Linked DNA regions of Caenorhabditis elegans. The protein of the gene in region 1 interacts with the protein of each later gene in a pairwise test. Each region holds a gene or a part of one and is shown in the gene's direction. Other genes may lie near its edges.

Evidence for each region. Proteins that work in one complex are often made in the same cells at the same time.
Region 2: the proteins of syd-9 (region 1) and jip-1 interact in a two-hybrid assay, tested with the Caenorhabditis elegans proteins (one large-scale study listed by BioGRID).

The regions. Positions count from the first base shown.
Region 1 is NC_003284.9:7,216,429-7,220,181, forward strand, and holds the start of syd-9 (Zinc finger protein syd-9), read left to right. Parts: upstream 1-1,841; 5' UTR 1,842-2,039; coding exon 2,040-2,177; intron 2,178-3,748; coding exon 3,749-3,753. UniProt on the Caenorhabditis elegans protein: Plays a role in regulating synaptic function, probably by modulation of endocytosis. May be dispensable in muscle for normal locomotion. May be involved in post-transcriptional mRNA processing, in parallel with unc-75.
Region 2 is NC_003280.10:1,324,962-1,328,714, forward strand, and holds the start of jip-1 (PID domain-containing protein), read left to right. Parts: upstream 1-2,033; 5' UTR 2,034-2,039; coding exon 2,040-2,135; intron 2,136-2,875; coding exon 2,876-3,088; intron 3,089-3,705; coding exon 3,706-3,753.

The DNA.
Region 1 (3,753 bases):
GAATTAGACACATAGTCTTCAACAATACATGATTAATATCTTCTAAATCCCTTTTTCTGACTGAAATCGACCACTTCCTATTTGGTCAAATTGTAGATTTGGTGAATTCATCAGTGAAGCTGATAGATCACAACATGTTTATCGTCGGACTTGCCGGACAGCAGAGACTAACAAGCGAGAGAAGCAAAACGAGTGAAAAAAGAAAGTGGAGAGAGAGCATAAACACATAGTTTATCTGTATTTCAGAATGTCTCCACAATTCGCCTGCTCTTTCGTCTCTTCATTCCCCTTTGAATATTTTTCTTCTTCTAGCTTCACCAGGTCTCACCAATTTGTCACGTCCAGATCCGCCTACACGGTGCGATGGATAAGTGTTGCAAGAAGGGACACGACAAACTGACATACAGGATGAAGCCCTTAGCACACGTTTTATTTTACCGCTGTTTGGTTTCCAAATTGGAAATGTGAAAATGGGAGTGGAAAGAGGAGAAGAGAAAGGAAATGAAAAGTAGAAGCAGAAATGGTTAGTGACAAGCGCCGCGGCATGCACTATGCTCATGACAGTCATGAGATAGACTACGCAGTTGATCTTTTTTTTGGTGGGAATTTTTTTCAGTATTAAAAATAAAAGTTTTATATTGTGAATTTTGTTGAAACAGCGGCATTATTTTACAAAAGTACGTACGGTCGAGTGTTCAGTCAAGGCCGGTGACCTCTTCACAGGTTTACTGAGAAGCGTAAACACGAACCACATGTTGCAACATACACCAGTCAGATTTTTTGTATTTTTCCAACATCTTTCGTATCGTCCGTTACAGCTTTCCGTTTTTGCGGGTTTTCTAATGGGTGTCAGTTTTCAACCGCACAGGCTCACTATCTTGTGTCTATTCCCTCTCTATCCGCTCATTGATTTTTTTGGTGATTACGGCGCACGGCAACTGTGTACAATTTACCTGCTCGCCTGTTTTCGCCAACTGTCATCGTCATGTTTTCTTCATCTACCGCGCCAAAACTCCCCCTCCTCTCTTCTTGTCGGTTTTCTTTTCGTTTTGTTACTGACAGATCTTGTGAAATCTAGAAATGAAATATTATGAGTTTTTTTGTAAAGCAATTTCTTCGCCCAGATGTTTTACGCTGTTGAGTATAGTTTCTTATTAGTTATATTAAATTAAGTTTGAGAGTGTAATAATGTGTTTGTGAGACAAGCTGAAACATGAAAATTGAATCAAGTAATTTTATTAAACGGATTTAGTTTTGATAGCTAGCTTCAAATACAAAAATGAAACCCGTTTGCAAAAATCTAGTTCTGTATCCATGTTCATTTGTAGGAAATATCCCGAATAATGAATAGTTTTGTGCCGTATCCGGCTGGCACAGTGTGCTCGGCGGAAAAGGCTTGAGCTCTGGTGCTGCTTCTCCTCGACCAACACATTCACTCGCTCCACACTCCCATTCCGACTAGGAAACGAGCTAGCTGTAGACAGACCGCCAAGTGACGAGTGACCGCATGAATCAGAGAGAGCTTCAAGACTCGTCTCGGGATACTGAGTAGGCACCCCATAGCAAGCCAGAACGTTATGCAAAATAGGGCGGAGCCTCCACGTCCCCTGCCTGTCTTTCGTTTTCTATCGTCCACATCGTCGTCGTGGAGCGCCTTCCCTGTTTGGAAAAGAAGACGTGGTCACCCTTCTATTCACTGTAGAGCTCCGTGCCCTCCACGTCCACGAGTTGAGCTCTCTCCGGCTCCGGCGTTTTCTGTCGCTCCACCCCTTAGGAATAGCTCGGAGCCCCACCCCTCTCTCTGTGCGCCCGTCCTGTCCGATCGGTCGGCACTCTCCTCCCCCCTCCGTCCGTCCTTTTCATCGTCTCCTTCTACCAGGAGCACGTTTTACCTTTTCCTGGCACCCATCTATTTTGTGGACAGGGTCCCTCTCTTCACTCCAATCATACTCACTAAATCGTTATTCACAAAACATCAACGTTGGCACAGGTTGAAGAAAAGCTGACGTTAAAGAAAACAGAGTCGTTGACCATCCTGGATGTCTGTGTGCGTATCACCGCTAGTACAAGCAACGATTCTGATGACAGAAGAGAGTCTGACATGTCCTCAGTGTCCGAAGTCATTTTCAAGTACAAAACTCTTGCAACAACATCAGCAAATGTTTCATACCGATAAAGTGAGTCACAGTTTTGCATCATTTTTATGTGTTTTTATTGTCTTATTTGTCGCTATCTGATCCAATAGGCCAAATTCGCTCATTTTCTATTTTTGTGCGCTAACTTTTCGATTATGAAAATCTCGCATCAGATAGGCAGCGCACTTTGATGAATATAAGTACAATTCTAGAACATCAAGTTAGAGTAGTTTTCCCAGTAGCGAGAGTCATATTATAATTGTATTAGAAGATCAGAGAGTATTTTGTTCCATAAACCATATCTGTCGTATTCCATTCGATTGTGTATTCCATTCGATTGTGCAACACAAAAGTTTATGAGCCTATACGATACTGCACAACAGTTGCCCACCCATACCGTATTTCGCCCAGTAGAGAGGCCAGGCGGTATGTTTCGTTAGCGATTGGACAGTTCTACAGTTACACTGCAGCAGTTGGCGCGCATAGTTCGCTTTGGTAGATAAGATATTATCATAAGAATCTAACAAATGCACTCTGTAGTACCGTCTTTCAGTGTTTTATTGAGTTTTATACTCTTTTTTGACCTTAAGTTTTAAATATTTGATTTATACTTTCAAATATTCATTGCATCCACGGTTTATCTGACAAGATTAGAATTTTAAGTATGTTATTATGTAGACTGGTAGCTCATTTAGTTTTGATCCTACTATCAGAAAGTGCACCAGATTAATCACTTGTGTGAACTGCACAGAAAAAGGAAATAGTTAGGACGTAGACCTTGACAACGGAAACCACACCTTTGCTCATGCTCGATCTCGCTTTCTAATCTTATTCAGCTGCTTTGCCACAAGAATGTACTTTTGAAGAACCCCTTGATTGAACTAAGACATCAGAAGCCGGTATGAGATATAATGAGATATTTTTAATTACGATACATTTTACCAAAACAATAAAATCTTAAGAATATTACATAGATACATATAAGCAAGACACTAAGCTTTTTAGATTTTTCTGTAGTGGTTCTGTTGACATTCGATCATAGAGTAGTGGTGTGCACCGCTAACTGCTTCCAGAATTGGCGGGACCTAGTTGTTTACGAGGTGTGTGCTCATTTTCCTCTCCTACATACTTGCCTGTTTTCTCTCATCGAAAATAAGACGACCAGCGCAGCAAGGCACCTGACCTCTGGACCAGCGGGGTTTTCCGGTTCACTCTTTTTCCTGATCTTTGCGAAAATGTCATCTCATCCATTTACTGTACAACATCGCATCTTCCGATATATAATCTGATCGCAGTCGCATTTTCATTTTCACCCAGATGGTTCAATGGTAGTTTTGTGTTTTGTGGGAGAAAGATAGGGGCCAGATGCTTTGGTGAATCGCATCGTTTTCCGTCCGTCTCGCCCACATTGCTTACTATTTTGCCATCGGAAACTTTGTCCCTCGCTCCTCCTCCGGCATCTTGTCGCGCTGCTCTGTCATCTACTTGTTCCTTTTTGTCGGTGCACGGGGTATTTTCCGCTCTAGCGATATATTCCGCCTAGTTTTTTTCCAGTTGAACTATCTTGTCTTTTTCGCCGCTTACTCTTTCTCACGTTCCATTTCCATTTTCAGTCTGT
Region 2 (3,753 bases), on another chromosome or scaffold:
GTGCTCCTTAATCTATTCCAACATTTTTTTTTTGGTCTGCCAGACTACAAACTACAGATTTAGAACTAGCAGACCTAAGCTTCTTGCTCAAATTTGAAAATTTCCGAAAAAAATTGCAATTGTTTTTCCAAATTTCCCGTTTTTCGAGAATTTGAACAATTTTTCCCGCGTTTTCTGCACAATTTTGACGTTTTTGGGTTACTGTAGCGCCAAAAGTACGCAAACACCGAGTCTCTCACGCGAAAATGCACAGAATCTCAAAATCATCGGAAAAAACAGTCCCAGGGGTGAAATGAGGCGCTGAACTTGAATTTGACAGTTAAAATTATCAAAAAATACCTGAAAACATTGAAAATTCAATTTTTTTAGTTTTTTCTTTCAAAATTTCTTTTTCGGAAGATATATTCGCCTGGAAATAAATTATAGGGCTATATATTAAATTTCTAACATTTTTCTTATGTTTCCTGCTCAAATTTGTCTTTTGGGGGGTACTGTAGCCCCAAAAGTCCGCAAACACCGCACACCTTACGCGAAAATGCACAGAATCTCAAAATCCTCTGAAAAAAGTGTTCTAGGGGTGAAATGAGGTGCTGAGATCGAATTTCAATGTGAAAAATTATGAAAATCGTTGGATTTTGAGAAATTTTTTTGGTTTTTCGAAAAAAACCTGCACCTCCCCACCCCCCCCCCCCCCCCTCTTTCAGGGGGTACCCCTTAATCTATTCCCACTCATTACTACATCTTTTTTTTGCTCTCATTTTCTCTGCGTCTCTCACTTTCACATACTATCTCGTCGGGAGATTAGTGTGAAGAAGACGCTACCCTCAGAGAGCAGGAAATGCGCGGAATTTATTGGAAAATGTGTGTGCTCTCTCGATGAGGGAAATGGAGTGAAGAAAGGGGGGGGAGGAAATTGAGATAACATGTCAAAACTCGTGATATGATATAGCCAATAACATTGGTGAAAATTATAAGCCAGAAAAAAACATCGCAAAAAAAAATTTTTTTTAGCAATTTTTCCCGAAAATCTTTATTTATTCAATTTTCATCAATTTTTCATGCTAAAATTCGAACTCAGCACCTAATTTTACCCCTAATCCATCCTTTTCCGACAACTTTCGGTTTCTGTGCATTCTGTCGTAAGGTCCGGTGTTTGCGTACTTTTGGGGTTACCGTACCCCCGAAAAGTTGAGTTTTTGGCAAAATGTTTTTTTCTCGAAAATCTTTATTTTATCAAGATTTTTCCTGATTTTCATGTTAAAATTCAAACTCAGCACCTTATTTTATCCATACCACACCTGTTTCCGACATTTTTGAGATTCTGTGTTACCGTACCCCGCAAGACTTAAAAATTGAGCTAGAGACTCGGAAACAAGACTTTGGCTGGAAAATTTGACAAAAAATTCGTAGGGAACTTCAATTTTGATTTAAAAAAGTTTTTTTGGAATTTCGGGAAAAAAAAATTTTAGAAAATTTTTTTTCCAAACTTATTTTCTTTATTTTTCATTTTTCACTTTCTCAATTTTTCATCTAAAAATTCAAATTCAGGTCTTGATTTTACCCCTACCACGTCTTTTCCGGCAATTTTGAGTTTCTGTGCATTTTGTCGCAAGGTCCGGTGTTCGCGTACTTTTGAACCTACAGTACCCCCGCAATACTCGAAAATTGATCTAGAAACTCGGTAAAAAAGGCTTCGGCTGTAAAATTTGACGAAAAAATTGTTGAGAAGTTAAATTTTGGAAAAAAAAATTATTTTTGGAATTTCGGTGAAAAAAAATTTTTTTTTGGAATTTTTCAAGAACAAAAGTTTTGAAAATTTTCTGAATATTTTTTCCATGATCCCCTTTTTTGAGTTGTTTTTCAACGCAATTTTCTCTGCACTCTCTTCACTCTCTCATCCACTCCATTCATCATTTTTTCCAGCGCGCATGTCTGGAACAGAGATTCACTTTTATTTTTCCTTTTTTCTTTTTTTTTTTTTGCTCCAAAACTTCTTTTCCACTACTTGAAATTTTAAGTCTTAAAAATTTCAGCACAAAATGAGCGCATTTGAATGTCGAAAATGCGATGATTTTCCGATTGAGGAGAACACGGAGGACGAGGATGATGACGAGTGTCCGACGGTTATTCGGAGGGTAGGTTTTTTCAGGAAAACCGTTGATTTTTAAAGGTTTTAACTATAAAAATCAAATTCAGCAGCGTTTTTTTGCTCCTAAACCGGTTTTTTTGCAAAAAGCAACAAAAAAATTAAAAATTTTTTTTTTTTCAAAACTCGAAATTTTTCTCGAAAACCAGCAACTTTTAAAAATTTTCATATCAAAATTCAAATTCAGCGCCACTTTCTACCCCATTCCCAGCTTTTTCAGCCAATTTTAATTTTCTGTGCATTTTGTCGTAAGGTATGGTGCATCGATTTGTGTTTGCGTACTTTTGAGGCTACAGTAATTCCAAAAAACTTAAAATTGAGCCAGAAGTTTAGAGAAAAACTTATTAAGGGTGAAAAATTACGGAGAATCCGAATTTCTTAATAAAAATTGTGAAAAATTTCAAATTTCTACAAATTTTCCAGTAAAAAATTTTCTCGGCAAAAAAACGCAACTCATTTTTGGAATTTTTCACACCGAATTTCATTTTCAACACAATTTTTTACCCCTCAAACACCATTTTAAGTCAATTTCAAAGCATTCTGCATTTTGTCGTAAGGTGCAGTGTTTGCGTACTTCTGGAGCTACAGTAACCCAAAAAATTTCAAAAATGAGCTAGAAGCTCGAAAAAAAAAAGTTTCCAGGGTAAAAAATGTCGGGAACTCGATTTTCATATCGAAAAACCAAAAAGAAGCCTCTAAAACCTCCAAATTTCCTGAATTTTTTTCCAGTCCTACTCAGCCGACTGGCTGCACAACGACAATTCCTCTGGAGGTGATGACGATTCAGAAGAGGATTCTGACGCCGAATTTCTGGTTCATCCGTGTCTTCGGAGTATTATTAAATCGAAATCCGCTTACGCAGTTCCCCGTAACTCTGATGACGTTGCAGCGGCGGCAGCGATGAAAAATAACAGAATTAAGCCGAGCAAAACAAGCTTTGAGGTGAGCTGGATGAGGAGGTGGTGGTGAAGATGTAGTTTGTAGTCTTTGTAGTTTTTGTAGTTTGTAGTTTATAGTTTGTAGTCCGTCAGACCAATGTTTTTTAGTTTAAAATTGATTGAGTCTGCCATTTGCAGGTTCATAGTTTTGTGTGGTTAGATCTGTTATTTCGAAGTTGGTAATTTATAGTTTGTAGTTTATGGTTTGTAGTTTATAATTCGTAGTTTGTAGTTTGTAGTTTGTAGTCTGTAGTGTATAGTCCATCAGGCCAAAATTTGCAAGTTTAAAATTGATTGAGTCTGTCATATGTAGGTTAATAGTTTTGTTTGGCTAGATCTGCTATTTTGAAGTCAGAGATTTATAGTTGTAGTTTGTAGTTTGTAGTTTGTAGTTTGTAGTTTGTAGTTTCTAGTTTGTAGTTTGTAGTTTATAGTTTGTAGTTTATAACTTGTAGTTTGTAGTTTGTAGTTTGTAGTTTATAGTTTGTAGTCCGTCAGACCAATATTTGCCAGTTTCAAAATGATTTGATCTGCCAAATTTAAATTTTTTGTATATATTTTACAATTTATAGTTTATAGTTTGTAGTTTGTAGTCTAGCAGACCAGAACACCATTTTTCAGATTTCCTTATCAAAAATGATGGAATCAACGAGTAAAAGCATAGCGGAA